Drosophila melanogaster: one gene and its partner. Changing the gene in region 2 together with the main gene of any one other region gives a genetic interaction. Each region holds a gene or a part of one and is shown on either strand. Other genes may lie near its edges. The genes, in order: bwa and Cerk.

What was found.
Region 1: of Cerk (region 2) and bwa, changing one suppresses a phenotype caused by changing the other (phenotypic suppression), as found in Drosophila melanogaster (one study listed by BioGRID).

The regions. Positions count from the first base shown.
Region 1 is NT_033779.5:20,064,557-20,082,706, reverse strand, and holds bwa (brain washing), read right to left. Parts: upstream 16,317-18,150; 5' UTR 15,947-16,316; coding exon 15,809-15,946; intron 13,915-15,808; exon of another isoform or gene 13,660-13,914; coding exon 13,403-13,659; exon of another isoform or gene 13,389-13,402; intron 13,331-13,388; coding exon 13,193-13,330; intron 12,627-13,192; exon of another isoform or gene 12,569-12,626; coding exon of another isoform or gene 10,999-12,568; intron 10,884-10,998; coding exon of another isoform or gene 10,519-10,883; exon of another isoform or gene 10,512-10,518; intron 10,354-10,511; coding exon 10,061-10,353; coding exon of another isoform or gene 10,035-10,060; exon of another isoform or gene 9,330-10,034; coding exon 9,253-9,329; 3' UTR 8,988-9,252; downstream 1-8,987. Other genes in the region: neb (nebbish), read right to left, coding at 5,411-6,850; pr (purple), read left to right, coding at 7,682-7,749, 7,857-7,936, 8,371-8,516, 8,579-8,791; CG10730 (uncharacterized protein), read left to right, coding at 10,519-10,883, 10,999-12,568; vls (valois), read left to right, coding at 17,109-17,648, 17,706-18,082, 18,135-18,150. UniProt on the Drosophila melanogaster protein: Hydrolyzes the sphingolipid ceramide into sphingosine and free fatty acid.
Region 2 is NT_033777.3:5,354,991-5,370,200, forward strand, and holds Cerk (ceramide kinase), read right to left. Parts: upstream 13,317-15,210; 5' UTR 12,931-13,316; intron 7,077-12,930; exon of another isoform or gene 7,042-7,076; intron 6,771-7,041; 5' UTR 6,720-6,770; coding exon 4,989-6,719; intron 4,561-4,988; coding exon 4,358-4,560; intron 4,298-4,357; coding exon 4,168-4,297; 3' UTR 3,883-4,167; downstream 1-3,882. Other genes in the region: CG1161 (uncharacterized protein), read left to right, coding at 195-263, 337-560, 844-952, 1,013-1,138, 1,435-1,590; Prosbeta7 (proteasome beta7 subunit), read right to left, coding at 2,141-2,293, 2,365-2,866, 2,934-3,085; CG31542 (uncharacterized protein), read left to right, coding at 14,602-14,605, 14,665-15,210.

The DNA of each region.
Region 1 (18,150 bases), on a different chromosome or scaffold from region 2:
CCTAACCCAGAAGAAAGGAAACCTGAAAGAGTAAGAACAAAAACAAAAACAAAGAAAACCCGAGGAGAAAAGAGAAAAAGCTGTCGAAGACGAAGATTGCGCGAGAGAGCGAGACAGCAGCCTGCAGCTACAATAATCTAAGGCAACTGTACCCCTATTTTTTTTAAAATGGTTGCCCAGCATTTCCGCGTTGCGAATACACTACCATTTACAAAAGCCAGAACCACTTGATACCAATTTACAACTACCTTTTTCATTATCTAGCCCTTCGTTTTTACACCAACTTCGCAGTTATGTACAACTACAAACGGCACTTTGTTTACCGACAAACAATAGCGCACGACGAAAAAATCAAGTAACGAAAACCTGCCCCGCTTGACCAACGCATTTTTTGACCTTAGGCAAAAAAAAAAAAAAAAAATTATATATGTAACACAAGGGAAGCAAAAACTGAATTTTCTATTTTGCATACGAGACTGAGTAAATTGCAGTAGAAAATTTTTAAGCGAAATTTTTGTTATTTTCGTTGCTTTAGTTTGGACCCAATTGGATCAGTTACAGGTATTACCATATAAGAAAGAAATAATGAAAACTATAACGATCAATCAAGGTTTTGCAACTGTTATTTTCTCGATATATGCGTAGTACATACTTTGGACCCCGATTTTTATTGTATCCTTGTCTATATTAGACATTCCCCTATATTTATTGTAATACCAACTGAGCGTTGCACAGTCCGAGCAAGTGTCAAAATGAAATCAAATCGAAATATGTATGTAAAAGTTGAAATTGTTCAAAAGTTTATGCCTGGTTACATTTTGTTAACTCAACTTGTCGTTACAGAACAGAAATTGTTATTAATTTTTGGTGTTCAGACTCAGCTGTGCAAAAAGACGGACGGAAATATTATAAAAACGATTTAACAATTGCATTAGTCATTTAAGTAATTGATCAAAATGTAATGATTTGTGTAAAATTTGCTTGCAGGTTCCAAGAAAATTTTCAATTTATACAATGTTATATATCATATATATTATATATTAATGGTTAGTTTAAATTATATGTAAACCGAATAAAACGACAAATGATTGAAAAATTTAAGTTAAAATGCGTACTTGTATCTTGAGGGTTACTTGAGGAAATTACGATTAAAAGAAAGGAGATATCATTCATAGTTGCTACGATTTCTAAAAGTTAGACACCTGTTCCAATTACATACGTTGAGGTGGGTCAGTTTGGACTTAAATTTTCCAAATAAAAGTCTTAATTTCTTATGCAAATCTTTACGGAAATCTTTCCGTCTCGCACCAGTTTACTAATTGAAGTTAATCTGTCTTTTGTCTGTCTGAACTCAAAATGTTCCGCCGCTTGAAAACGTTAAATATGATAAGTAAGTACTTGATGGCTAAGGTCAGGTTTTAGGCACTAAACTGGGAACTAAGCGAAAGCACCTCGAGCCCCAATAAACCGACCTGGAACTTGACCATGCACTATCCCACCTTGCAAGCGAATGTCCAGGGATGCCAGCTCCCAAGTGATCCAAATGAAACCCCAGTCAACTAAGCCGAATTGAATTAGAGCAACGAACGTTTGGCACGGGTAGATGAGATCATCCGTGCCTTAATCATGAAAGGCGAATCAAAAAAATTCAACTGATCAAACTGAGAACTGAGCGCATCCCCCCACACGAAAACCATTCATTCCATTTGCATATTTTTTCATGAGTGTGCAAAAGGGTATATGTGCAATGGGGCGACGGGGAAAGCGATGTTCGAGAGAAACAACTCGCGGGGAGGAAGCCATATACATATTCAGTTGTTTGTGCATCGAATTCGACTCATTTTATATTCCAATGCTAACCACTTGGTTGGGGCTAAATATATTATTAAACAGTGTGGCTTAAATTACAATTGTTGTTATGCGGGAAACTGGAACGGAGAGCACACGTTCGAAGCATTTTGTTATGCCAACGTGGGTCAGAGATACAAACTTTTGAATTTATAACTACTATACTATACTATACTATTTATAACTACTACTATTTACATTATTGAATGGCTCAGTTAGTCGAAATCTTGTGAATAATTAATCTGGTTACTACTCGTATGTCAAATTTTTTCAGTTCACATAATTAGCATTCATTTGTGAACTGAAAACGTGGCTTATTTGAAAATTCATAACGGCGACAGACAACTCGCCTGTTGCTAATTACGAAAATAATTAACTGACGTATCCTCAGTGGCACGCTTTTCGTATTAGACACGTATTAGAAACAGCAGATCAATCGAATTTGAAATCGTGTGAACCTACGTCATTTGCATTCAATTCGATGTTTCTGGATTTCATTCAAAATCCCACATTCCCTGGCTATCTAAACGGTGTTTGTGGCTTTCCAAATCCAACTCGGAAAATGCTGATTGTGAACTCAGTGCGGTTTCTAGGGCTTTGCACACGAGCAAGTTAATTTGGAATTTATTTAGAAAGCTGGCTTGGGACTCCGCATTTCCAGTTCCAAAGTTCCCCCAGTCATGTGAAGGTCGCAACGAGTTCTCAAAACTAATAAAAATTGAGAAAAAACTATAGTTTAATGAATAAAAAAGGACTTATTTCTTGGAGAACAGAATATATCCCTTTGCATTTCAAAAAATGCTGAACCGCTTGTTACAAAAACTGAAAAGTTCCAGAGGAGTCAAGTCGCAAGGTGAACTTAATAGCTAGGCCATGGTATTTAAAGTGAAATACTTACATCAAAATATGTCAACTATTCTAATTACCTATCAAAAATTGAATTATTCTTTTACAAAACCTAGCCGTAGTGCAAAACCATTTTCATATAAGTGGACTGTTATTAAGCCAGTTAAATAACAGTATTAACAGTATTCTTTTTTTGTTTCGAATAATGAGCTTTTTGGATAATGAACTTAAATATGACTTTAAATTGACGAGTCTGTGCTAATAAACAAAACGGACTGCAAATGTCAAATCACAACTAATGTTAAAAATTAAAGTTATAAAACACCAACCAATTTTGATTATAAAGCATCTCCCATTACTTACATTGTACCCAAATCCTGGTTAACTTTAGATTTTACTTGGCCTAAACATATTTGCTAATTGTAACATACTCTGCCATCAATTACCTTTATTGGCTTGTATACACTTCGTAAACGTTTAGTTACCATCCTAACTATCTGTATATAAATTATTCATTTTGTGTACAAATTGTTATTGCAGCTCTTAAGGATGGAAAAAAGCTGAGCAAGGGCAATTGCAAATGCGAGCCTTCAGCGTGTAAATGTGGAAAACGTCAACAACGACAGCAACAATTGAAATTGTTGGTGTCGCAACTTAGGAGACGCGATAACGTATCAAGTGTTATAATGTTTTAGTGCCGAAGTACCGCACAAAAATACCAAATAAAGCATTATCTGCAAAGTATTTTTAAATCTATGGGGTGGCAAGTGAAGATGTAGATGGAACTTTTGTGTCGTATGCAAAGATAGGAAAAGTACTTCACGGATAGATAGGAACCATGGAAGCCCAAAAATATCAGAGGCAAAAAACAAGGTCGGCTGATATATAAAAAAAAAACACAACAAAACCCCCCTCCTTTTAAAGGGGTGAAAACAACTAGTAACAATCAACATACAAACCCTAAATCTAAACCATCTAAATCTTTCAATGATTTTAAAGATGGATTGGGCAACCACAATCTGGTGCGTTTCGTCACTACGCTGGCTGCGAGAGTCCCCTACGGACCTACGACGCCATTCCAAGAAATATTTGTCTTCACCTTTTATGGCAAAGGCCGCGTACGGAAATAAATCATGTGAGCCATTTTATGGGCCGTACTACCGTAACGAAAAGCAAAGTGGACACTGGACACTAAATAACACTCAGTGGAACGGGTTTCGGGAAAAAAGACAAGTGTTTGGACTTTCGATCAAGAGCCTCTCACTTGTGGGCGCCATGTAATTACTCATTGAATGCAGTCGAATGATTATAAATTACGTCGCAAATGTCGAGTGCGCCTTTTTTTAGAAGCCAGATACTTGTATTATATAAAACCCTCACTTTCGGATTAACTAGCCTGGTAATATTCCAACAATCAAGTTATTACGAACGTGTGGCGTTCGCTTAAGAGCAGTTGTTAACTTAAAATGCACACATAAGTATGTTACATTGATTGCTAAAGAAAACGCAGTCGTTACTCAATTCAAACAATCGTGAAACAAGTAGCTAATATGTTAACTAATGCACAACATTCAAGTCTCATGACAAGTTTATAACAATTTTCCTGCTAATGCTATGTAAGCATTTGCTGAGGTTTTATAACAAAATAATTATATTACCCGGGTGAAGACACTGCTATCTTTTTATTCGCGTTCTTAAAATAAATTTCTAGAAAGTTTACACGTGCGCCTTTGTATCAGGTCATAAATTTTATGGTCACATAGGAAAAGCAACAACAATAGATTAAATAGATATGATAAGAGGCCAAAATTTTAATCACTCAATTGATTGAGGTGCGGGAGGTCTTTGATTTGGTAGACCTTAATAAAAGGCTTTCCTATCGAAAATGATAAGGAAATAATAATAATAAAAAATACACTAAGTCTGCTGGCAATCTTAGCAAACAAAATAAACAAACGAATGATAACAAGGTTCGAGTTTAGAACTCGAGATCTCTCATATTTAGTCCTATAAAGCGCAGATAAACTCAATCTAATCTCTGGCTGATGTTGTCGTCTTCTTTTCCTTGTTTTTTTCGGACAATTTGACGCTTTATTTTAATTAAAGTAATTAGCACCCCAGTTAATTGATAGAGCCAACATAAATCTGTCTAGCAGCTGCTCCTCGCAGTGCAGACATCATTAAAACAGAATTCGCGTGTCGCGCGAGTCGAGATGATATCTCTGTAGACAGTGGGCTTCATAGCTCATCACGAGATCTGTTGAAAAGACGAATATCTGCCAGCCAGTTAAGTAAACATTTGACCGTACGAACATTTTGTGGGTACTTTCCGCAGGGGTCAACGTGTCATTTGCATGTTGCAGTGCAGTTCTACGTACTGATTGCTTTCCGGGTAATTACTGATTGCAAGGGGACCCCATTCCGTGGGCCACTGCCTAATCGAAGCGAAAGTGTTGATAAGCAATCCTATCGGTGGTGGCAAAAGTGCGGAAAGCATTGCGAATATACATATGCATTTATATTGAAGACATGAGGTTATAAGGTTTTACTGAGCTGAACTTATTCGAAACACATACTTAGCAATCACTTCTGGGTACAATTATTGATTTCAAAAACCAAGGGGATAAGAAAGAGTTATCATTAGCCGAAAGTAGACCAACCTACTGACCCGGTTGATAAGTACAAACGCAGCTAAGAACTATTTCGTAACACTTACCCGCAACAGCCAGGTGAGCACGCTCTCGCGATAGGGAACGAAGGTGCTGGGCGTCCCAGAGCCCAGGGGTCCATTGGCGATCGCCTTGCGGGAATCGGCGAGAGCAGCAATTACTTTCCCCAGCGTCAGCAGGCTCTTGTTGATGCTGACGCCCTCGCGGATCCGCTCGCCGTTCGATCCGGAGACGCTAATGCGTTCGCTGCCCGCCAGGTCCACCAGGCTAATCTTGCTGCGCCGCGTCTGCCGCAGGGAGGAGGCCGTGCTCGAGTCCGTATCCGAGGACAGGCCATCGTCACTGCTCAGATCGGTGAGGTTTAGGACAATGTTGAAGATGGAGTGTGAGCGCGAGCTCTTGTCGTTCATGGCCGTGGAGGCAGTGGCCCGCTGGGAGTTGCCCACGGCAAGCCAGTTGCGGAGTGCCGAGTACGAGTCCACCGAGTGGGCACTCAAGTCCACTACGTAGGGCCCGAAGATGGGATGCTCCCTGACCTTTAGAGCCGGACGCTGCTGCTGTTGTTGCTGCTGGATGGGCGTGGATTCCCCGGTGGCAGCTGCCGCATGCTGGACACTCAGCAGATCGTGTATCTTCTCGTTGTAGATCTCAAAGTAGCTGACCTCCACCTCCACCTGCAGCTGCTGCTGACTTTTCACAGCCTCTATGCGGCGGAATAGCTCGTGGCAGAAGCGTGGAATGATGCCCGCCTCATCGTGCGGCGGTCCGCCATCCAGAGCGGCGTCATCCAATGCTTCAATGCCCATCATGCTGTACGATTTGCCCGAGCCCGTCTGGCCGTAGGCAAACAAGCAGGCATTGTAGCCCTCGAAGGCAGTGTCGATCAAGGGACGCGCTGTGCCCTCAAAGACTTTGGCCTGGCAGGCGAAGTTCTTTCGTTCGGGATCGCACGAGTAGTAGACCTGGTCGTAGCTGAAGAAGTGCGTCACGCCGGCGGAGGCATCAGCACTGCTGCCCGCTTGGACAGTCAGCTCGTTGCTGTTTCCGTGCACCTGGACCACATTGGTGACCTGACCACGTGTGCATTCCAGGGCATTCAGTGGCCGCACTCGCACCGCCACAATCATGTTGCTCTCCTCGGACACGCTGAGGCAGGACTCCATCAGAGAGTCCCGCTCCTTTGTCCTGCTGCAGCTGGATTTCCCGGTGCCGGGCGTCTTTGCTCTTCCAGGAGTAGAGTTCGCATTCCTGTACAGCGACGAGGGTGTGTAGCAGGCATTCAGGGCCGTGGGCTTGGGCTTCGGCTGTGGCGTGCTCCCGCTGAATGCAGTGTTCAGCAGCTGTTCGGGACGATCCCGGTGCTCCCGATCCTCCGCCCGCGTCATCAGCACCTTCTTGCGCATCTCGGATGCCGGCGTGGATTTGTGGACTCCTCGCGTCTGGAACTGCTGGATGCGCTGCCGCACCGGAGTGCTCTTGTTGCTCATGTCTAGATTATTATTTAGGTATCTCTGCTCGTTTTTTAAATAACGCCGAAGAGTTTCGAATTATTGCGCGGCGTCGTTTGTTATTTTTTTTCTAGTGAAGGGCGGCGATCGATAGCAAAGCAGGGTTGATTACAGTGAGCGGCGTGAGGTCCGGCAACGCCACCACGAGCCAGGGATGAACAGCACTTACATACTCTGTTAGCTAACTCTGTTAATCAGCTCATTTAAATTATGAGATAATTGACAAAGAACTAACATGAAATAAATAAATATATAGCGAAATTGTAATAGTGTAAGGATTTCTACCCATACAATAGTCTATTTGTGCAGTTGTAAATCACTGAGAACAGTTGTGGCGGCAAACTGCTCAGCTCTGGCCGATAACCGATACGCGCTGCCTTGTTATCGGGAGCAGCTGTTGACGAGCAACGTAGACAAAAGTAAATATTATTGAAAATCCATAGCAATTAAAGGTGAGTTCCTTGCTGAATTGAGTTTGTTACCATGGCTATAGCATACCACACCCTGTCTTTGCAGCACGCATAGGCACTTGCAACAGAAAACGAGGGAACATCAATCGCTAATCAGCTGCAATTAGCCGCACTCGAAAAGTTCAGAGAAACTAGTTCCGAGCGTGTTGATATCGCAGTCGCCGCATTTGTGGCTTATATTTCCTTGTTCCCTCGATCCAAGTACCATATAAATAAGCGCGGCTCAAAAGCAGGTTTTGCATTCATTGTAAAACATTGCCAAAGCGCGCAGCTGATCAGCCGCATATATAAATCCACATCCAGATACAGATCCAGATATATAGTATAAATCGGACTTGAAATGTCGCAGCAACCTGTTGCCTTTTTAACCCGTCGCGAAACTTTCAGCGCCTGCCATCGTCTCCATAGGTAATTAGATTGAATCAAATTGAATCATTCAATTGCCTGATTCAATCACGGCTGGCAAACCAATTCAGTTCGATTTAAATTGATTGCTGCATCTATTTTCTCTTCAGTCCCCAATTGAGCGACGCCGAGAATCTGGAAGTCTTCGGCAAGTGCAACAATTTCCACGGCCACGGACACAACTATACAGGTAAAAAAAAAAATACCCCTTAAATACACTTAGTCGCATGATTACCTGCAAAGTGCCACACTTATTATCACATAACCCCGGCTCAATCAGGCTTAACCCCCTACTAAACTGGTAATTTGAGCCCAAAGTGGTGCCTAACCATAGCAAAACCTTGGCCGACAAGCTCGCTTATCAAAACCATATTCAAGTTCAACGCTCAAAGGCAATCAATATGTTGACTGGCGACCGAGAATTGATAATGAATAATGGTTCTGAACGAGCATAAAGTGTCGCAAGTGCTCAACTGATTAGAAATTTGGATTATATTTAGATTGTCAATAGCTAAACCTTAAGAACTCAAGCTTGACTCGATGCCGATTATACCAAATTATACCAAAAAATGTGTGAATAGACTACGAAAGATGTTCTTTTATAATCCTTTGTGATCTTTTCAGTTGAGATAACCGTCCGTGGTCCCATCGATCGGCGAACCGGAATGGTGCTAAACATCACCGAGCTGAAAGAGGCTATAGAAACTGTGATTATGAAGCGCCTGGACCACAAGAATCTCGATAAGGATGTCGAATACTTTGCCAATACAGTAAATAACCAGCAAGCACAACACAACTTACCGTACTTATCCTTTATATCTATCCCCCCCAGCCAAGCACCACAGAAAACTTGGCCGTTTACATCTGGGACAACATCCGTCTGCAGCTGAAGAAGCCGGAGCTGCTGTACGAGGTGAAGATCCATGAGACCCCAAAGAACATTATCAGCTACCGCGGCCCGTATCCGCTCAATGGCATCTACAACCCCATCAACAAACGCATCGCTCACGATTCGTGCACCAACATCTCGTCGGATTCGGATTGAACATTCGAAGATTGTGACATCGCCTAACGAATTTTTTGATTGGACCAATGATCAGCGAAGACTCAGCCAACCTCTTAAGCACGCGCGTAGAAAAGGACACTTACCATGTAAGGGAATGAAAAGTTATACGAATTACACAGTATGTAGGAGTAAAATATGTTAATGCAACATAATATTGAATAAAACAAAGGCAACTGAAATACTATTCTTTATTGCGATTAAACAAGAGAGCTTGCATTCCTAACACAGTATATTTGTCGACATTCGTTTAGCCTAAGTAAATCATACATACTTCCTAAACTATCGCTCCATATGGCATCTATACATAATTTGGTTTCCGCGATGAGCAGGCGAGCTTTGTAGTTAATAAATAATTTAGTTGTTCCACCTTCTGCAACTCTAACTTATATCACGCTGTGTATGTCTCTGTTTGGAGAAGGCTCTCCACCCGATTTCTTGCCTTAGTTCTTTCGGTGCTTGTAGTCATAGTCATAGTCCTGCATGTACAGACTGCAGTAGACGAGCCAATCTTTCGAATCTGTGGAATCAGCAAGGTAGCGGGTTGAATGATTTGGATTGCATAATACTTTGAGCAACGATCTCTACTTTGTTTAGTGTTTTAGTTGTGGTTACTGCTACATGCTAGTAGATTTCCAATCCAGAATAAGTGTAGGTGTTAGTTGGTTAGTTTGCGTAAATTAGACAATTAACAAATTCAGGTACTGACAACCTAATACGATTTTTTGTCTCTTTGGGAAAGCGTAGGAACCATTTGTTCTGGAAGTCATGGGATGAATTAGTTCATAACATATCACAGTCTGATGGTAACTCATACTCATAGAACGGGTTAGAAGACTTTGATTAAACTCATTTTAGGGGATAGACGGAACAATAAACATCATTTAGATATGTCTTTCTACAATAGTTCCACGGAGCAATCGCCCATTCATTTATGGACTAAGCAGGGCGCTACTATTATTGTTTTAGGCCCAAGTGTTCAGGTGCACCGAATCTTAAGGCGTTAACAGACTTATCTCTTTTGGGTACAACCGCGAATCCGATTCGTTTGCTTAATATAAATACATCTATGGCTAATAAACTGTTTCAACTATATAAAAAGTGTGCGCTACAATTACGTTGCCGCAATTTTACAATAATTGTGTATGGTTTTAAAGCATGTACGATATTATCGCTTGGTCTTTGGTCACTTCTCTGCCAGCTCTCCATTCCGGCGCAATCGTCCTTAGATGGTGTTGCGCAGAGCCTTACCTGGATTCCGGATCGAAATGAAGGGTATCCCGAACTCGAACTCGTTCTTTGGCCAGTACTTCAGCAGCGGCTGTCGCTGGGGCAGCTCCGATTCCACGTAGAAGTAGGCGAAAAGCACCAGCACCGTGTAGGCGGCTATAAAAATGAATATGTGCCAGAAGCCGTGCAGGTATGGAAAATTGATCGAGGACCAGGCCTCGCAGAAGATCCGGTCATTGATCCAGCAGAACACCGCAACAGCCCAGACGGTCGTCGATCGGATGCCCAGGCGGTAGACCCTCTGGTCACTAACTCTGTATGAACAAAGATATATATGGGTATTAATAAGTTGTTATATTTCGAAATAATTCGAAAAGAAACGCTCATGCTTTTCGTGTTAAATTAGCCAAGCGTTGTGAATGCAATTATTAAACGAGACTTTCGGTCCGCCAATGAAAATGCTGCAGTCAAAGGTGATCATGACGCTGTCGCGTAAGGACTTTCAAGCCCTTTTAATCGTAATATGCTTTGGTTTTTGGATCGAGAACCTTGTTCAGGGCGCAGATGATTACTATGTATATAGTCCGGTGTGCCAGATGCCCGCCGTGAATCCCTTCACGTGGGACACAATGAGTAATTTCCACAGAAAGACGCTAAGGCATTGCCACAACGACAGCGACATGGTAACGAGTGAATTCGACTTCGAGACACATCAGTACCGACTGCATGTGCACGAGCACCTGGCCAAGCCCATTATGAACAGGAAGGGCAATGCCACCCTGGAGTGCGAGTACCAGGAGATTTCACGGGATAACTCCGACCAGAAGCCCGACAATGCCTATAAGTAAGTATGAGCATACCATGCAGATATGAATGTATAAATATTATTCCGATAATGGTTGAAGGAGATTAGAGAAGCTTTCTGACTTTGTTAATAAGCCCAATTGGATTTCTTTCAGTCAGCTAAGAAGGCGGCCCATAGAGCAGCACCAGTTCGTTCCGAACAACACCGACTACATGATCACCAGTTGCTACGTGAGGGATGTGACCAAGCACCGGGAGCTGCTGCAACAGGATGCCATTTCCTTCATCGAGGACCGCCTCCCAAAGGAGAAGGTCAAGGATTTCGTGAAGGACGAAAGTGAGGTGCACAAGCCGAGCGTTCTGATCATGGGACTGGACTCCACATCGCGCATAAATCTTCGACGAGCCATGCCATCGGTTTACAAATTCGTTAGACAACCCGGCTGGTTCGAAATGCAGGGCTACAATAAGGTGGGCGACAATACCTTTCCCAATCTTCTGGCCGCGCTGACAGGGGATTCCGAAAAGGGAGTAGGGGATTATTGTGATGTCACAAAGCCGGGCTGCTTGGACTCCCTGAACTTCATTTGGAAGCGTTTCAAGAAAGCCAACTACACAACAGCCTTCGCCGAAGATTGTTCATCTATTAGTACCTTCAATTACCTGAAACCGGGATTTGTGAAGCAGCCAACGGATTACTACCTTCGCCCACTACTTTTCGCCATCGAAAAACAATTTAAAGTGACCAATGACTTCGGATTTGCCTACTGCGTGGGTCGCCACCTCAGCTTCAGCTACGTCTGGGACTTTGGCCAGCAGTTCATCGATCGCTTCCTCGGCAGATCCCCAATGTTCGGCTTTCTATGGAGCAATAGCTTCACCCACGATTACTACGAGGGAGCCACTGCACTGGACAACCTGCTCTGGAAGTATCTAAAGTCCTTCGAGGAGTCCAATCTCTTTCAGAAGTCCATTGTGATTCTGATGAGTGATCATGGCCACCGGTATAACACTTTGAGGCGGGCTTCCACTGGGTATTTCGAGGAGCGCATGCCGATGATGTTCATCTACTTGCCACCCTGGTTCCGGCGCAAGTATCCCCATTTGGCGAGTAATCTCGGCAAGAACCAGAATCGACTCTCGTCCAACTACGATGTGTACATGACGCTCCAGCACTTGCTCCAGTTGGATAGCAAGTCCGTGGATGAGTTCCCGGATAATCTAAGGGCAAGGCAGTGTAAGAGCTGTCAGTCGCTTTTCTTCGAGCTGCCCTTCAATCGCACTTGCCAAATGGCCGGAATCGAGGAGAAATGGTGCTGTTGCCAGCCCACGGAAACCATTACGAATTCCCCGCATGTGAGCACAATTGCCGAGGCTATTGTCCAGCGAATGAACGAACACTTAATTAGCCATAATCTCAGCGATCTTTGCCACAATTTCACATTGGATTATGTGGAGAAAGCAGATCGCAAAACCATCCTGTCCAACGGACTTCGGCCGGCTGATAAAAACGAGCAAGTTTACATCATTGTTTTCGAAACTGTCCCGAAAAACCCAATTTTTGAGGCCACTGTGCGCTGGAATAGTCGAACCCAAAGGCTTCTTCACTTCGATGTCGAGGAGCTAAGTCGATTGACCTCCTACAAGAATGATGCCAACTGTATAAATCGCAAGAATGCCAAGAAGTATTGCATTTGCAAGGACAGCTTAAGTAGGCCTAGTTAGCACTGGTTAAATTGTATAATTCATAATAAGGAAAGAAAGATACCATTGTGTACCCACTATATCTATCGTTACTTTTTCTATAGTTTCCTACATTCAATTTAAGGGTATAAATCCATTACTCAGTTGCAACCCAGATACGTCATACATTACGAAACTTTGTGACAACTGTAAGTCCCAAAGGAAATAATCAGTGGCCAGTTGACTACCTAAGCCAATATAAACAATAAGCCCTCGAGCAGAGTACTCTACTCCAGGTTTATCTTAATTACACACTGAAATCGATTGACATGATTGATTGATGCACCGACGCCTGGTCCCAAACATTCAATGCCAGTGCAGGGAAACACCCCTTCGTTTTGATTTTTGACCTACTCGAACCATAACATATCATCGATGACAAAGAAAATAAAGCTGATTAAATAGGTGCTGATAAGGTTGAAATAGTTTTGGCTCCCAAAGATAAAACAAAAAAGCATACGTGATAGCAGGGATGAGTGATGTTAGGATACATGATTTATGGGCCTTTCGGTTAATTTCGGGTCACCAGGCGGGAAATCAGAGCCGCCTGCTTATCGGTAAGACCCTCAGATTTACGAGTTGTGTATATCGTCTAGGTGAACTTACCTCTGCAGCTCTGTGTAGAGCATTACCATGGTCGGCACACTCATGAACATGAGAACAAAGGCGTTAACAATGGGCTTCCACCACGACAAGCCCGTCGCAGCAATCGCCGACAAGAGCATGAGCCAACTGAAGGTTTTGCTGGGGGAACAAAGGAAACCGAAAGTCGGGGGATTTAGATAGTGCCAGCCGTCAGGGGATCACAGTGCTTACCGATCGTTTTTCACGAACTTGGGATAGTATCGCTTCGGATAGAAGAGCGAAAAGGCCGCCATGAAGACCCAGAGTATGGCCAGTTCGTCCAGCAGCTGGCCAATCAGACTCAAAGTGGCATGGAAGTACATCGAACTCAGGCCAACCACGATGAGCAGCACCCAGATGACGTGGATTCCGGGCGTCACAAAGCGTCCGTACTCCTTGAAGAGCATTATAAGGACGGGCGGCAGTAGGATGAACAGGAAGTTGCTAAACTGTTGAGGCAAAAAGAAGTAGAACGACTTTTTAATATTTATCATTCCTTCAATGTAAATGGGTTGATTATATATCAATAAAAATTAAAAAGGGGGGAACGCCATGATCAAGTATCGCGACTATTACATACCCTCTACTTTGCTCTTGTAGCAAGCAGATAATATACATTAAACTATAAGATAACTTTAAAGAGGCTTAAAATATAAAACCAATCTTGGCACGTAGATTTGTATTGATTAGCTAAAGTATCATTCAAAATATCACGGAACGGAATCTGCATCCGAAAGAAGAATCAGAATCTCTTTTCTATCTATCTTCTATTTTACGAGATCTTGAAGTTCATACGTACGCTAGTAATCCTGATCAAGAATATATATCTTTTCTAAGGTCGGAAATGCTTTACTCTACCTGTTATATACTTTTCAGCTAATCTTCTATGCACTTTAATCTCCTAGTAATCGGAGTATGAAATAAATGGAAATTATTATCTTTTTTCTTAAAAAGTTTTATGACAATGTTTCCTATTTGCTATAGCTCCCTGTGGGCTGTCTAAATAATTAACATTTACGTGTCACTTGGGCAATTTGCACTGTGTCACGTAAATGTGTGAACAAATTGAATGAACAGAAATCATTTTGAGTGGGCAATTGGACGAGAAGTGGAGCAATTATCACATCTAAAGGGTGCATGGATCAGCATTAACATATGCGTATACTATTAAAACCAGTGAGTGATAAGAAACTGGGATATGCCGCAATTATTCACACTTCCCACTATAGAGATATTAACGATTTCATCAACACAAGTGCCGCTGGTTATTGTGCAGCAGAGTGTCAAGAACGGGGTTATTCACTCCGTTTGCTGGGCGAACAACTCAGTTGAAACAAAGCCGAAATGCGTTGTGCACTTCAATGGGCCACGGCGAACGATTACTCATGTCGACCAAATCAATTAAAAGCCATTCCCATTATCGTTAGCCAGCGGAAGTGTATCTGCACCATATGAAAGGCCGTTCTACAAAGTAACTTAAGGCTCCCCAGTTTACATTGACCGAACTGATGATACTGCGTTCTATTTGAAACGCAAGATTGTAAATTACGACATACTATTGTCATCGTGTTGGGGAAATATGGGGAAATACGATAACCTTTTGGACTTGAGTTCACTTTGAGAACGTTCTATTTCTTGCTGGGAATTCAAAAAACTATTAGGCTGGAAAATTATTTACATTTCGAACATCTTATAGAAACTAATTGAGATTAGATACGACAATAAAGAAATTTCCCTTAATCTTAGTTACGAATTTAGAGTTTGCACTTACTTATATTGTTAATTAGAATATCAGAAAAAATGTTGTTTTGATCCACTTTTAGTGCGTTGTTTTCGTAAACAGCGTTTCTATCAATGGTTAGCTTCAGACGATTAACCTTGATAAGGCCTAATGAAAGTGAGCCCGTCACATATTGAGTTACGAGTTACGATTGTAAGAACGTTTATATTAATGCGGATGCCATTCATTACCACCAGCACAGCTATTTGTTTAGGCTGTTTTACTATAATGACAAATGCAAACGGCTGACTAACTAAATGAAATCGCGAGCGTATAATCTACATATTTCAAATCTAATAACATCGGACAGCCGGGTTCAAAGTAGTTATATAAATCATATTATATATGAAAGAGATGATAACAACCAAATGAGAGAAGCTAGCCCTTGCAGGACTTAGTTTGAAGTCCGTGTAGCGGCCAAGTCTGAAGAGACACAAGTTTCCAGTCCGAGGACAAAGTGTTCATTATGCTTTGCCCTGTCCGCAATACCAAGTTTTATATCGATCGGACAGGTGTGAAGCTCAGGGCGATAAGAAAACTGAATTTTCCGGGTGTCGCATTTTCCGGGTGCGAAAATGACCCCCACCCCCAGCCCATCGTCACACCAACGCAAACAAAGCGTGGCAAACAGCATCTTTTGTTTACGTTGCCAGTCGGTCTCGCTCTAAAAAGGTCAAGGCCTATTCAAAGGGAAAACTAGCAGCTGTCTGCGAAGGGGTGAGAAGAGCAACTACGACCACTGCGGGGACAACTAAGTGGGGCAGCGAAAGCAGAGCGCACAAATTACATACAACGTTAAATAAATCGCACATACGCACCGTGTTCACGAACTCGGCGATGTTGGACGAAATCAAGTAGTTGCCTTCGCACCAGTCGACGGGCGAGCTTCCGGGTCTTAGGTGCTCCCAGGCCATGGCGTAGATGTCCAGCAGCCCGCCGCCCCCCATCCCGCCCATTCTCCGCCCACTCGATGGAGGCCCGACCGCAGAGATCACAGCTGATTGGGGAGGCGGTTCCGCTCGTTCTGCCCAGGCACTTTGTGTGTGTGTGTGTTGCTCTGTCGCCCTTCCTTGCAATCTTAGACCAGCTGCAGTGGCGCAATTTGCATAATAGCCCAGTGTGCAAGCACTTGCGTGTCTTTGTTGATTGCCTTCCGTCGCGTGGCTTACTGCAGAGTCGAAGTATTCCGCAGTTATGTAAGGAAATATTTAGTTCTTGATGGCTCAGGCGATGGAATCTACGACGTTTGGGACGCTGACCACTCGCGCTAGGAACGCACTTTTCAAAAAATAAACCAGCGCGCAACGAGCGACGCGATAATAATAAACAAAAATAACAACTGTGTGACCGCTTGCAAGCGAACGGTAAATGTCCATAGTGGCGGGAAATCCCCTAAAAAATACCGTTGCTCACAACTATACCGTTAAGCAATGTGAAATGTAAACGTAATGTAGAAACTTTGCAGTTGTAAAGTGCGCCATTCTCTTTTTTTAATTACCGCCTGGCGATTTCGGAACTCCTGTATCGGAAGTCTTATTGTTATATAAATAAATATATTCTTTATGGCATTTTAAAGTGTTGTTCTTGAAAATTATCCTTCACAATTTTATCAAAAATGAGTAAGGAATTCTGAACGTGTTCTGAACCTTTAACCAATCCTTTGACCAATCTATAAATGACTAACTATCATAATTTTGGATGTCCTCCTAGTGATGATGCGCACCAAGATTGCTCAATTTGAAAATGAAAGCTGTAAATAGAAATGCTAAAAAAAACTTGCAAAACGTATTTTCAAAGTCTTTCTATTAATCGACACTTTCATCTCAACTCGTGAAGAAGTGCAATTAAAAATTATTAAAATAGGTCAGTATACATTTTTCCGAGTTCATAATACTGATATTAATCGGAATAAACGAACTCATTTTGAATAAACCAATCAAAAAAAAAAAAAAAAAAAACTCCAGAGTATCCAGCTCGCGCGATTATCTCTAATATTAATGTCTAATAATATCGATATTTCGATTGGTACACAAATCGATGTATTTGGTCTTGCCGGGCTCGTTGCTCTTCCTTGCTGGCCGATTCTCTGTTGTTTTACGGAATCTTGAGTGAGAGACGATGTTCCCGCAACGCAGCTCGGAGCTGTACCGCACTCCGGTGACCCACCAGCCTCCGCCGGCACTGGAGCTGGCCGGGAATCTGGAGTACCCGAACCTCAACATTGCGGACCTAAACGCGCGATTGGAAAACCTTTCGCCGCGACTGCACGACTGCTGGGACAGCATCGCTATCAATGATCACAACCACCTGGCCCTGGCCACAAACCGACGCGAAGGACGCCAATGGTGGGGCATGTTGTTCGGCTACGGACGCGACCAGATGCACCATATGAGCGTGGACTCGGCGAACTTCAAGCTGCAGGCGGAGCACACGGTGAACATTGTGCGCTACGCTGAGGATGATTTCCTACTGGTGGCCCTTGGGGATACCCGACTCCAGGCCTGGTCCACATACTCCAAGGTGCGAGATTCTCAGTCGCCATACTGCCTCTTCCTCGTGGGCGAGTCCAGTGCGCATCCCACACCCATCAGCCAACTGAGCGTCTTCAAGGCGGATCCCCGCACTGCCGTTTCGGGCTCAGCGGACAGTACCCTCAATGTATGTATAAAGGTGATGTGGATGTATGGAAAATATACAAATGTTACCCTTTTGCAGGTCTGGGATCTCTCGGGCGCCGATATGGTGAGCACCTACAGATCGCGCTCCTCGCATACCGACAAGTTGACTGGCCTGGCCACACCCGCAGCTTCAGTCGATAAATTTGTGACCTGTGATCGTGGCGGCTGTGCCCGCCTTTGGGATGTCCGGGCAGCGGCTCCATCTTCCACGTGCCTCTATGCGGATGCCAGCCACGTGCTGAGCTTCACCAGTGCCGCCTGGGCAGCTGCCTCGGAGCTGCAGGGTGACAATCACATCTATCTCGGGGACTATGACGGCAAAGTTCATACTCTGGACATTCGAGTGCCACGAAAACTGGCGGAAACCAGGGAATACTTCGACAAGGGCCATGTCGCCCAGTTATTAATCAATGGGTACAAGTTTAAGCGAAACAATGACGATTTGCATTAACGCACATATTTTCAGGCCCCATCTGGCTGCG
Region 2 (15,210 bases):
ATCGTGAAGGAAATAATTAGTTATTAATAATTAGCCTAAAAACTAATTGCACCAAAAGGAACTAGTTCGATGAGCGACAATTTGTTGGTATTTTCTGTGCACCAGACAAGTACGGTCACTCTGCGAAATTGCAAGGGAATTTTCTCCAATAAAAGGCAAGAAAACTGAGGAAAATTGAAATTAAAGAAAAATTAATGGCACACAAGCGCCTGTTCGTCTACGCGGTGCTACTGGTGATATGTTATTTGGTTGGCGTGACATGGGTATGATGACTGGCCACATCCCGTGACTGCCCCACTAATCCGCTTTCATTTCCCCCTCAAACAATCAACAAAGGCTGAGACTGCGGCGCAGACATTCCCAGCGATCGGCACCAACAGCAACAACAACAGCAATGCTCAACCTGCTCCTGTGCCTGCACCTGCAGCTCCAGCGGCTGCAGCTCCACTAGCCAAGCAAGTTTCAGCTCCCACTGCCGCCCCTCCGGCCAAGGTCATCGGCCAGCCTGTGCTCGCTGCTCCAGGCAAAAATTCTTCCAATTCCAGCAGCACAACTGAGTGGTAAGTGGCACTGCACTGGCAGAAATTGCCGCATCTGGAAACTTAAAGTCTAGTCCATTTGAGCAGTTTTAAAGCTGCAATCCCTTTCGTCCCACTGGATTCTACTACTTTAAATTCAATTTACGTTGTTTGCGTAGGCTTCAAAGAATCATAGTTCATGTATTGCACAAATGTATTCACTTTTCAGCTACTAAATGTATAAGGCATCTTGGTATCAATGAGCTTAATTTGTGATTCTGTTAGGTTGGAGTTCTTAACAACCTGCTACACGTTACCATTTCAGCGTCTGTGCCGGTGCCCTGCTGCCCCGTTTGGATGCCAATGGCAAGGAGCTGCCCATATGCGCCGAGTGCAAGTGCTCCCATGTGGCGAGAAATACGACGCTGATAAAGGTGAGTCAATTCGAGTGCTCAAAAGCCGTCCGTACTTAACCAGCTCTCTCCCCCATCCAGGTCGTGGTCATTATTGTGATTTGGATCATCTCCATTTTAGTAATATACATGCTCTTCCTGATGTGCCTGGACCCGTTGCTGAACAAGCGAGTGAAGGCGAACTACCAGGAGCACACCAACGAAGATGTACATAACAAGCTTTCTAGATACAAGGGCATTCAGTATAGCCTCCTAGTTACAGCCCAAGGCGAAGATGATGAAGATGACGATGTTGATGCCGAAGCGGCTCAACTAGTTGGCAATAAAGAAGCACCACTCTTTTGAATAGATTTTAATTTCCACAACCACCTTTGTTTCATTTTGCGTTATAGATTTTGTTGACTTTCTAACCCACACCGTCACTTCATTAAGACAGTAACTAACACGGCCAGATCTTGGATCACCTCGACTAATTCCACATTTTTCCACCCTTTTCTAACCAGGATGAACCAACGCCGCCCCTGCCAGCCGTCAACAACCAGGAGCTCAGTGCCAGAGCCAATGTCCTCAATCGTGTGGGCCACCAGCAGGACAAGTGGAAGCGGCAGGTGCGCGAGCAGAGACGCCACATCTACGACAGGCATACCATGCTAAACTAACAAGGGGTTCGGTTTGCAGCTGGCGGAGATTAGGAGGCGCATGGGCGACTTAAGACACGTATTCCAAGCAGTTATCCTTTGCGAAATTCCCCTTTGGATCAAATTGATTATCTGTATATTTAGCCAGATTTTATGTTAATTAAAATAAACCAAAATATGTTTGTCAGGAGTGTTTGCATATTAATTAATAAGTTGAATGCCGGGAGGAATAACCAACAAATCCACTAAAATAAAACTTTTAATGATAATTGATGGTTATAATTTGGGAAAATAAGGAACGTAAGACCGTAATGGTGAGTCCAAGTTAGATTTGGAAACTCCCTTGGGCTTCTTAGTTTGACGCCTACTTTTTGATTCCATCAGTAGAGATTAACGAAAGAATAACTCGAAGATAGTTTCTATCACACAATAACCATAACTTTAAACGTATTATTTTCAGCCACATTTATTTTTAATAAATCATGTAACCACATATCCTTAGACAAGTGTTTTTTTTTAATGCAAAACCGCCGAGCTAGACCTAAACTAAGTTCATTCAGAATCGGAGGCTCTAGTATCCCTTTATGGTTTCGGCGAATGTCCAGTTTTCGTTAACTTGGAAGGGCCCCTCCACGCCGCATCCGTTGACGCTGCACACGCCCACAGTGTATTGGGAAATATTACGAGTATCGCGGTAGTAAAGCACCTCCATGCATGTGCGGATCTAGAATATAAGAAAATGGTAGGGTAGTTAAATAATGAAGAGTCCCCCCATCAGAGTTCGAAATTCCTTACCAGTTCGGAAGCTTCTACGGCGGTAAAGTCCCTGTCCTTGGGCTTCTTCTCACGGACCAGCGGAACGGCCAAATGGCGGGCAAAACCAGTGGCCACCACGTAGTCCTCGTAGGATCGTCCACGGAGATCCACGTTGGCCAGGTACGGAGTCCCCTCGTTGTCCACGCCGCCGACAACCACGTCAATGTAGAGGGGGTTCATCCGCGAACGACGGTTGTAGAGCACACGGGTCATCCAACTGGCCAAGGACTTGGGCTTCATCTCGATGTTGTCGTCGCAGCACTGGTCCTCGATCATCTTCTGGTCGATGTTGCGCTTGATGGACTGGATGTCAGCGAAGTCGCCGCTCCCGCCGAGCAGGATGTTCTTGTTGACCTTAAAGACGCGCTCAATGTTTTGGTAGCGGGCCATGGATCCGTAAGACACCAGGGTGTCGGCGGCCAGCATCACTCCTGAATCATAGCGAATGCCAAGCACGGAAGTGCCCGTGGTGCTGGAAGCACTGCGGAATAGTAAAAGGAGTGTAAACAAGTGGTACATCTGCATATAAACATATCCGCAGTTCCTACGTGCTGTGCTTGGTTCCATAGGGTCCCATTGTGGTCAGCTCCCGCGGTAGCTGCTGGACCGGCGTCTGTCCGCCCGTGAAGTTGTAGAACTCGCCGGGAGCGGGTCCGTTCTGCCACATGGGCTGCGCTAGGCTGTTGTAGTTGTTCAACATGCTAATTTATTCGGAGACTGGAATAACGCGAGACTTTGAAATGTTTGTCGCTGCCGGAGAATGACGGGCACAAATAAAATCAAGAGTCAGCGCAGTGTGAACAGACTTTAGGCGGGCGGCAATACCAGTATCGGCAACCGGTAGCTAAAAATACCAGACATACCAAAGATGAATCCACTATTAGCTTGGTCACACCGTTTTACATGTGTTAAATTAAATTAATTTGAAGTTTAATTGTGAACTTTTTAACATTTTATTAGATGTTGATGTTAAAAGTAATGTAAAACAGTTAACACCACGCTGCCTATACTGAATTTGTTTTTTTACTTTTGTCTTTATAATCCTCGTTGATAATACAAATCAAGGAGAAGAAAGATAAGAAATTAAAGAACTTTTCACTCAATTAGGATTAAGACTCATGTATACCCGTTGCTTCTACGGTATTTACTACTCCTTGAAACTAAATATATGTTTAGTTAATATATAATGACCATTTGCTTTACTTCATTTTAAGCCGTTCAATGGTCATTAAAGTATAAGAATCGAGAGCAATAAATGTAAATGACGTTTGGAAATTATCCTGGTCAATCTACAAATCCAATATCTCCCTTCTCTCCCTTCGAACACGATTCTCCATAGCTTTTTAAGCGGAATAAGGTTCTTTTGCTAAAACTTCTGCTTTTATTCATATTGGTGGGAAAAACGCACATGTTCCGGATTGTTGTTTTTGGGAACCCAACGAAGTTTTTTATCATAACATTTGATCATATAAATTAATAATAAAGAATTATAAATTTGAAGACATATAAATACATTTTTATTGCCAGTATACCAGTACACAATTTGTAAATATATAGGTATGTGCATAATGCTTCCGAGGGGAATGTTTAGGTTGCTGCCGCATCTTTCAGATGCCATAATACAGTCGATAATATCAGTTGCTTTATTGAGCTATGCTAAAAACAATGACGGGGAGACCCGCTCTTTAACACGATACATATACGAATAAGGATACCCTACGCAAAACTAAGAGCTACATGTCACGGCCAACGATTGATGCTAATTCTATGGGGTTAAAGCTTCTAGTCCTTGCAGCAGCAGTAAACATTGTCGCTAGAGCTAGCTGGGGTTGTGGGCGTGGTGCCGCCCTTGAGGGGCTTGCTGTAGGAATGGGGACCCCGCATGAAGACCTCGATGAGCTGACAATGCGATCTGCCAGATACGGAACGGTTAATAAGCGATTTATTGAAGTTAAAGGTACAACCAACTCACCGCATGGTTATGTCCAGGTCGGTCACCACCTCTCCATCACAGTTCCAGCTGGAAAACTCCGTCGAGGAGGAGTGGGCGGTCATTTCTTCAGGCGGTGTAATCGGCTGACAAGACCCTGCCAAGCTGTAGTCCTCCTCGCTGGCAGAAAAAGTTCTGAACCGGAATTCCCTTGTGCGATATACCTCTACAAAAGGCAAATTGCGCTGCAATGGGAAAATGTTTTTAAATATTTATTGTTTTCTACAAAATTTAATTGTATCCTTTTATTTTTCATTTATATTTTTACAGTAAAAGATACCATCGCATTCACTAGATAAAACATTATATTGTTGAAACTGGTCAAGTATATACTTTATATGGATGCCACCAGAGCGGCTAGTAGATCTTCGTAAAATAACCTTTCTGTCACAGATTTCCCTCGCTTCAATCCGAGCTAGATGGGGTTCGGTTTTGGGTTTTTGGCTTTTAGGATAGAAAGCACTAAGCTCAGCTTGTAGGCTTAGGGGATTTGGCAATTAAAGATGCAGTTAAAATGTTATGGAAATGTTATTTCAAAGGAAATGGACGCCTCTTATAGGAAAGGTGTTCTTTTGGATGTGAAAGTTGAATAGTTGTAATAGTTAGTACTCACAATATCACCACTTCTGCCCGCCGTGTTGAGCAGAAAACGCACGTTGTTGAGCAGTGAGGTCTTTTTCACGAGAATCAGGTCCAGGCAACCATCACCCAGATGACTGTAACGGGAGATGCCATTGGGACTCCTGGCGCAGGCGCAGGTTATGTTCGCGCCGCAGATCATAAAGAAATTGCCCCGCACAACCTTCCACTGATCGTTGCCGAGGTTCCTCATTGATGAAATGGAGCCAGTGGGCAATCGAAGATTGCCTGGACGCGGACGAGGCCTCAGGAGTGCTGCTTCACTGGCGGCTAGATGAGAGTCCTCTGTTTCTACCTGCTGATTGCGCTCTGCCTCTTTAGATTCCTCTTGGATGAACAATGAGGATCGCTGTTCCTGTATGCTGCTGGCGAAGCTGCAGCGCTGGCAATTGGCATAGCAGACGGATGGCACTGACTCTCCCAGCGAGCACACACTATCCGGACTCTGCGGAATGTCCTCCAGCGGCGTGGTCAGTAGAAGATCGGGCTCTTCTAACATTCTCAGTTCGGCGTCATAGCCGCGATTATTCAGGAAGGCCTTGACGCCACTGTACTCGTACCGGCGCGGTCCCATCCAGCGGTAGTTCTCGCTCTGGGCTGCCACATCGCCCAGGTACCCGTAGCTCAGGACACTGGCACAGAATCTGAGCAGGGACTGCCCATTGCTCACACTGCACACATCCAATCCCCGATGCTGGCCCAGAATCACATGGATAGCCGCTGTCCTCACATCCGCCGTGCCGTGCATACTATACGCAATGGTGTCGGTGCTGCCAGCGGGAATCACACCCACTGGCAGAGCCGGTCTTGGAATGTATGGTGGCCGCTGTTCGTCCAGTCCCAACTCTCGCATTTGACGGAATATCAGTCCGTTGATGACCTCTGCTACGGTGCCATCGCCTCCGACACAGCAAACCGCATCGTATACTCCCAGATCATGGCTCAGAAGTATGTCCTTCACTTGGTTTGCCCTCTGAGTGGTGATACACGTGGCGTCTACGCCGGCAAGCTGGAAAATAGGTCTCACATGGCGCTCATAGGTCTGAGCTCCCGCCTTGCGACCTCCATAGGGGTTTATAAAGACCAAAAGGCGGCGCACTCGCATCCGGGTGGGGGAGGAGCTATGCAGACGGATTTGCAGCTCCTGGTCCCACTGCCTCACTATGTAGGGATCCGAGTTGAAGAAGGTGAGTCTCCTTAGCTCCCACCGATTGCAATCCGTTTGGGACTTGCTCAGCCTCATGGCATAGTTGATGGTCAGGTATTGACTGGTAGGCTTCCCTTGAGCAACATCGCCACTGCATCCGGAACTGCGTTCCGAGCCTGGCGGCGAAGGCGGTTTGAGGGAGCTCGCCTTGGTGTCCCCGCTCCTTATGCTAACCACATCGTCCAGGTGGAGCACGTGGCTTTGTGGTCCATAAGAGCAGATTCCGCCTGGTTGAGCTGGCGAGTCCGGCGGCAACGGTGCCTTGGCCTCGTTTCCTTGGGGCGATTGCTTGATCTTCTGCAGACGCTCCCAAACCAACTGCTGTCCGTGAAGCAGGACCCTGTAGCTCTTCTTCTTAAGCTGGAAGTTGTTCAGCAGGACATTGTGGTCGGAGGCGGAGCAGGGCGTGAACTTGGAGGCACTCGTAGAGCTAATGGGGGCTACAAAATCCCCGGCCGAGGTGGACGACCGCCCTGCTGGCTGCTTGGTCTGCGTCATCTTGACTGGCCCACGTCTCCGTCTCCCGCTATGGCGTCCGCTTTGTCGGTACTAAGAGAAGAAAACAGGTTTCAGTTAGATATACAGTGAAACATCATCAGCACAAACTCAAAAAGCAACCATATCCTTAGTTTGGACCCGTTAGAAAAGGGGTTCAAACCTTTCATATTTTGGCGCACATGACCAAATATGATTTCTTTACTTCTTTGTGTTTATTAAGTTCAAGTTATGGTTTAATCAAGCCTGACTGTACTTAAAATAGCAGTAACAAATGAAAGAGTGGAGGAGGCAGCGTCGTACTTACGACGCTCCATTCTCTTACCCTTTGATGTTCGGCCTTTGTGACTTTAGCAGTTCACGTAGAGGTGGGCCTTTCAACTCTTAATTACTTACTGAGAGGTGTCGATGATGAAAATTAAACGGAAAACGCAGAGGGGACTGTGACAGACTGAATCAACTGCATGGAGTCATTTTCAAACCTCTGCCTCGGTCCTCCGCATCTGATGGTTTTTGTCATTAGCATAGACTTGTGAATATTTTTGAACGAAAACACGGAAAGTCGAAAAAATAAAATGTTCATTCGATGAGTTTATGGTTCAATGACCATAAAGTTATCAAAAGGCGATGAAACAGCACTGTAACTACGAGATAACGACTCATTTTTAGAATAATGATGAATAATTGATTTGGCCATTGGTAAAAGTTTAATAGCAAAGCCAATTGTGCAACTGTATCATAAACAACCAGCTGGAAAAATATCGCAACAAACTCACTGCACACATATTTTTTTAGCCTGAGCTTAAAGTATTTAAATGGTAAGTTCGCTTATGACTCATAAACCGATAAAAAATAATCGCTGGTAATTAAAATGCCAGAAATCCCGATAAGACTCCAATGAACAAGCGTTGCAATCATAAATTAATATAACGAAAAACATTTTAAGGATTGGCTTCTACAAAAATAAATCGTTTATGAACCTCAATTAAATCGCGTCCAATTCCCTTTGCAAAATAGGTTTTGAAATACTTCTCAATGGGTTCTATTTGCCTTTGTTGATGGGTTTTCAATGGCAGATAATTGGACATGTTCAGAAATTATTGCTATACATTTTATACGTATGTACATTGCGCGATTCGTGTTCATAGCTCGCTGAACTGAGCAACCAGGAAAATGCGCAAGTGTTAGAAACTGGTTTAATTTGTATGCCACCCAATGGGAGTGGAAAACAAAAAGTACAATGCAGTAGATAGCAGTTCATAGCAATGAGTTGAATGAACTCTTGATTGCAGTTTTGGGCAGAGAAAAGCGTTCGCCAGTTATAAATAAACAAAGATCGAGATGAACGTGGCAGAAGCAAAAGTTATAAAATACTTCTTAAAGTACTCAACAACTGCAGTGTGTATCATAGCGCACTTAGCCAGAACCAAACTGGTTCTGAACTCAATTCACGTTCCGATCGTAAACTTTACGGCACCTCATTTACTAACAATGTACAATTGCTTTGAACTTGGCCAAAGCGAAAGAAAGCCAGCAAGCTCCAATCATCTCAAAACAATGGGAAAGACATCTCCGAGTAAAGTTCTTGAACAAATGAATCTCTATATTTCACAAAAGCGGAGAACAGTGCCAAAAACACCTTCAAAAATGACAAACGTATGCAAATTACTCTTTAGTTAGCTGACTAGCGAGGCAGACTGTATTGTTGCTTATTAGAGAGTCGCACGCATTTCAGTGCCCGAAACCAGAACTCGCACCAACAAGCCAACAAAGCCCGTCTCACGCGGCGTATGAGCAACGAATCGCCCCAAGGTCAACGACGATCACAGACGGCACCCAGAGCACGCAAAATCGCTTTCAGAATCGGATTCAAACAAAAAAAAAGCGGACCGGGAAGCTGTAGCTGTGGCACTTGGAAAACGGGTTCTGCCCGGTCGAGTTGCGTGCAGCTGGCGACCTTCGCCTTGAATCGCTCGAGAGATCTTGGCCAGACTGCAATAACCGGCTGTTGACCATAATCTGGCATTAAAACAAACCACCTCGCCCCTTGCCCACATTTGCACCCGAGCTGCAGGCTGGCCAAAGTCGCATTTCCTAGCTTTGTATCTTGACATTGACGGAGGAGAACCGCTTTTGAGTTAGCTCTGCTAATATGGCTAGCCATATTGTTTGTTTAATTAATTTTGGGCAGCTACTTAAGATATATTGCTTGCAAAAACAGAAAACTAGGCTTTAGTAGTATATTAGCCTTGGCATTGAATAAAACTGCAATTAGCCATAATGGTAATAATAGTTTTATTCGTTTTTATTTGTTTCTTTCTGGCTAATTAGCTGGCTTTGCTTGAGAATTAATTTGTTTGTGGCATTATCTGTGGACCTTTCCAAGTTTGATTTGTATAGTATCAAATTTTATTTATATATCTAGATCATAAATATACCTCATGAATTTGGCTTACGTTCAGCCCTCACACTATTCATAGAACTTGGTTATTGGCATACTTTTCTCTTTTGAATGCCAGAATTTAATAAACTTTTAATTCTACACTTTCGATGGAATAACCAGAGCATGTTCTTTATAATTTAGAAACAAATCAACAACAAAATACCCTCATATGAATTTGAAGTAAACAAATACTCATCTCCCACTTCTGAGAGCAAATCATTCAAAAAACAAATGTGATGAACTCAAATGCCACTAAACCGAGAACAGAGAAGCAAACAAAAAACATAGGGCACCTCGAGCAATGCGTTGATTTATACATTTAATAAAATATTTACATATGATAGTACCCAATTGAGGTCGGTACAAATTTGAATGCCATAAAGAAGCGGAACCCGGGGAATCGAAACAATTTCTCCTGGGCTATAATAGAATAAGAAATGTTTCTTAATAAAAGCAGGCCTTTTTGTGTTGCTGATTCATTATGATTAGCGTCAACTAATTGCATGCTGCTAATTGCTGCAAGCACGAAAGCGATCTGTTGGAACAAAGTGTCATCCTAAATGAGTGCTAAGTGGTCAACGATTTGTATTTTGTACTTATTTCGTGAAAACCCCTCGTTTTTCGCCCTCTAATCTGTACTGGCTTATCGGCAACTCAAACAATAACAATCGAGTGCTTTCGTACCCATTGTGAATGTATAGAATAGGGCTATATCTCGCCAATTTCTACCCGCCTCATGACACGTTGTGCAAAACTGGACAGCACTACAGGTACAAACGTTTTTTTAGTATATGCTATACAATATACATGCTATGTGCTATACAAGGTTCGATAAGATTGATGACATCAAGTCTCGGTTAACTTGCAACGTGGGAGTTAGTGGGCCGGATTTTACGTACATATGTATATCAGAGCTCTGAAGGCCTAATCAATACTTTCGTTTATCTATAGACCGAGTTGTTTATAATTTAAATGCCTGTACCATAAACAGAACTAATAGAACTGTGTCCGATTTCTTTTAACTTTGAGCTCGTTGACTCACGCCAACATCTAAGAAGCACATGACAGCAGTAATTATTTAACAAAGCGAAAAAGTCTAGTACATGTAGGTCGATGTGAAGAAGGAAAAGACAGACACATTGCGGAAATGTAAACTAGCGGGTAAATTGATAACCACACAAAAAGTTCGAATGACATGGAGGGGAAATGCTCTAGATATATGTACAGCTGTGTTAAGAAAAATAGCAGTGCTTTGGACTTGAGTGTTTAAGATAAAAAATTCTTATGATTTACAGTTTTAATGGGAAATTTTTTTTTATAATATCATTAGGTATTTAATTTCAAACAATTTAACAAATGTTTCGCTTTTATTTCTTTAATAGTTTCGAAAATATAGATTAAAACAACATAATAGGCAGAAATTCTGGTTTTCAATGAAATAGCAGTGCTATGAAAAAATAGTAACAAAATTCAACTTGACTTAGAACGAACTTAGTCTTTCTTTTTAATATGTTAATTCGGGCCTAATACTTGGCTGGATAGCCTTTGTTAGCCAGCACAGCCTTACACCCACGCGGCATGGAGTCCACCAGGTCCTGGCAACGTTTGGGAGGAATTTTTGCCCATGCATCCTGCACAACTTGCCAAATCTGAGCCTTAGACGTCGGGGACTTCTTCCACACATATTGTTTAATGTCCCCCTACAGGTTTTCAATCGGGCTTAAATCGGAAGATGGTGCTTACCACGGCATTGCATCTATTCCATTTTGGGTGAACCTATTCTTAGCCGATTTGCATCTGCGTTTCGGATCATTATCCTGTTGGAATGTCCATTTTAAGGGCATATTATATTCAGAATATGACAATAAGACATCACTAAGTATATTTACATATGCGTTTTGGTCTATAATACCATAAATCATATGTTATGGACTCATAACCATTGTAAAAAAACAAGCCCATACCAGGATTTTAGGTCCACCGTGATTGAAAGTCTTCAGTGGGTGTTTTGGGTGGTACTCCGTGTTTGGAGGTCGTTAGATATACTGTAGTGAACCACTTCCACCAAATAGCACTATTTTTGACCGATCAGTCTAAAGGATATTACGCCATTTGCAGACTGGCCAGTTTCGGTAGGTTTTAGCGAAGGTAAACCTTGCCTGAATAAGCCTTGGGCTAAGTGGGGGAACCTTTCGTGGACTCCTCGCACTGAAATTTTAACGTCACTGATTCCCAAGTTCAGCTCAGACTTTATGTCCCTAGAGGATGCAAAAGGATAGGCTTTGCTCTAACGAACTGTGCGTCGATCCTCTATCTCTGTGGTTTTACGTTTGGTACCACGGTTTTCGGGCTTCCATTCATATTTAATGGTATTGGATACCATTTTGGCAGCACATTCAAGAGTTTTTTGAATGTCCTTAATGCTTTTCCTTCCTTTCTAAGCTTAAGAATTAACATTCTTTTCTCCTGGGAGCAGTGCTGTCCTCCACCCACTAAAATATAATTTAAAATTTTTTTTTTAATTTTTTGCCCTTTTAAATATACGAATTAACTTAACCAAACTCACTTTTTAGAAAATAATGATCATTTCGGAACTTTACGTTGGTCAAAACCAGGCACTGCTATTCTTATGAACAGCCTAAAAATTGCGATTTTGCTCAAGAATGTAAATAAAAAAAGGATAACAAGAAAAACTAACCGGCTTTTCTTTTTTTTTCCTATCTACACATTCAATTTAACAAAAATAAGTGGAATAAAAAGTCGATTCCGAAAAAGGACATGGAAAAATACCTTTGTATTACTTAGTTTCCTTCGCACTGCTATTTTCTGAACACAGCTGTAGATATGTACGAAATACAAACAAATACGTCAATCTTAAACTCCAGAACTACTGACATTATTAGAATCGTCAACCCCTCCACCATTTATCTCGTTTCACCCTTTTGAGCGTTATTCAATCTTGACCCGCTTTATAGCTGCCAGACATCAGCCCATGTCTGACCTTTTCGACGGTGCACGCACCTCACAGCCAAAATAGCAAAAGCAAAGCTACAAAATATTATAAATAACTTGGGGCAAGTTCCCTTTGACACGTGAGGGGTCATTATTCAGTGCTATAGCGCAGATGGTCTGCTAAGATCAAAGGAAATAGGTACACGAATAGGTTTTCTGCCAATTCCCAGAATACATTGTTATGTTAAAATAAACTATTAGTATATGAGTAAAAATGAAAACAAAGTAGATACTTATTTTTTAGTTGCTATTTACTTGCAATCTATGCTTGGCAGGTCATTAAATTATTATTAATTAAGGTCCCTGAAATCCAATTTAACCCATAGAAGTAGACATTTCTTTCCCAAGGAATAAGTATCGCAGCATCGACATCGATACTTTGCACCACCAAAACAATAACAGTGCACATATACACCGAAGGGTCCCGGTTCGCTTGCTCTAGCCGCAGTGCGTCAGAAGGGTATAGCACCCTGGGAGGGGGGGGGGGGTGGGGTGGTGCAGACAGGGACAGCTGTCATTTCCATACTCCGGGTGCCGTTATCGCAACGCAATACAGCTGTGTAGCACCAACAACTCAGCTGTTGACAAGAACATGTGTGTATACAGGCGTAAGGGTGTGTGCGTGCGTGTGGGGGTATGTGCGTCTGGCTTGAGTTCTCTGCGTTTAATTCCAACTTGGGTGCTCGTGTACCTACTTATTCTCGATCCTAGTCCGTTCTTCCAATTGGAGTGCCAGTGTGAACTGGTTGGGGAACTCACCTGGTGGCCAGGTAGGAACGTTTATCCATACAAACACGGCTGCACTTTCGAAGTCGTTGCGCTGTTTTTCCGTCTGTTTATGGGGAAATCAAGAAAACTCGATACGGATGTGCATTGCAGTTTCGCACACTTGCACTTTTTCGCTTGCACACAAACAAATGCACACACACAATTGGAAAATAGCCGACGTGCAATTGGTGCTAATGGCGTTTCGGCATCTCCCGGTTTCCCGTTTTAGCCACACTTTCCACCCCCTACTCGCTGGAGCACAAAGAATTTACGAGAACACCAGAAATGCACTTCCGTGGCCGTTACAAAAAACACAGGCGGACAAATCGAAGCGAAGTGTACGTCCGCTCGCCAGTGTGACCGTACATATAACTGTGGAAAATACGAGGCAGACCACCTGACTTGATTGAAATACCACATAGTTTGGTCTGGGGTATTCTCAAGTCTGGCGAGAACTAGGGCTACCTTAAAATTAACGGCATCTTCACCCAAAAATAACTGTGCCCGATATTTTTTTTTAAGTTTTCTCACCATTAAATACTACACTACTAATACACTACTCCCCAGGATCAAATCACTCATCCCAGCATCCACATCATCCCAAAACTCTACTGCAGCCGCCAGATAACCAACAACATTAGCTGCGCAGCTTGCAGCAATTGCTCAACGGTCACCAATGACACCGTGTTGGGCGGGAGTCTCCAGCGGGTTACGGTTGGTCCTTGTGTCGATGTGGGGACTCCGGACTTCTTCCAGGTAAAGTAGTTCAGCTATGAGTTCAGTCGGGTTCAAAATTGGTTGGTGGCCAATATAGCCATTTTGTCAATTTGCAGAAGACACAACAACTGCTCAAGGTCATACTCCTAGACTCACGGATAAGATATTCATCCAGGAACCAAAAAAGGAAAAAATAAATTTAAAATGTTAAGAATTATTTTATAATCAATTTTTTTCACTTTTGTTTAAATCCGATTGGCGAAGTGATTGTTACGCGTACATACATTATACATAAATTATCAAGGAATTCTCCTGCATTTAATTTCGAAATTCCTCGGGATTTCCGCTGGAATCTATTTCAATAGGTTGCACTTTAGTAGAATATTACTTTCGTACATTTAATTTTAAAATAGTTTTAAGAGACATCTGATACTAGGTATCTGATAGCCTGGTCATCCTAATTTCGTGTTCGCTTTTGTTATTTTCGTTACTCGAAGAGTGTAAGGTAAATTGAATTATAAGAAAAGTAGGCAAAACTTAGGATAAGCAATAGTTCGGGCATTCGACCAAAGCGTTCTCATGATTTCAGCTTTCTCTTTTTATTATTTGGTAATAGGACATACGACTATACTTTTTTTTTTTTTTTTTTTTGTTAATTCCAAATAAAACTGCAGAAATTTAAACATTAATTGGGCTTAACTAAACCAGTGGAGTCCATAAGTTTATAAGTAATCTAATGGAGTGCTATTGATAATTATTTTCAAACTGTTAATTTATAGATATATTTGGTCATACAAACTTTTTAAAGCGTAAATGAATGCAAAGAACGCAGGGTATACAAAACCCGATTAGAGATCTCGATCCGGAATTGTCAGTTTTGATTTACCAGCTTGTAGGACAGCCTGTAGGGACAATTAATTACACCTAAGCCCTAACTTTCGGAAAATGTGTGAGTATCAAATGGACTGTAGACCGCCACCCGCAGCGCGCTAATCCTTCCGCCAGCAGCGTCTCCGTGTGGCAAGTGCAACAACTGTCCCTGCGGCACCAGCGGCGGAGCCCCACCCCCCCAGCAGCCGCCCCACAGGCCACCCCCCTCGTACGCCCACCAGCCGCAGCAGCAGCCGGACAGCTGTCCCTATCCGGGTCCGCGGGGCCAGGGAGCAGGCGGGTGCCAGGTCAACTCGACGCAGCCGCCGGGCGATCCCGCCGCATGCAGCCTCTACCAGAGCCGGGGAGCCCCCACCGTGGAGTGCACGTGCACTCAGAACCGTAGCCGGCCACCTCCGCCATCCGTTCAGGCGGACCACATCACGTGCAGCCGGGGTCCGCGGGAGCAGCCGCCTGCCCTGGAGACCCGCTGCACCTGTCGCGAGAAGCCCGCCAAGACGGAGTGCCACTGCGCCCCGCCGGTGGCCCCGCCTCCCAACCAACAGCAGCAGCAGGCGATGGCCCAGCCCACCTACGCCAACGTGACCTGTGGCCAGAACGTGCCCAGAGGACCGCAACCCTATCGCCCGCACCACGGCAACCAGAGTCAGAACCCGAACTCCT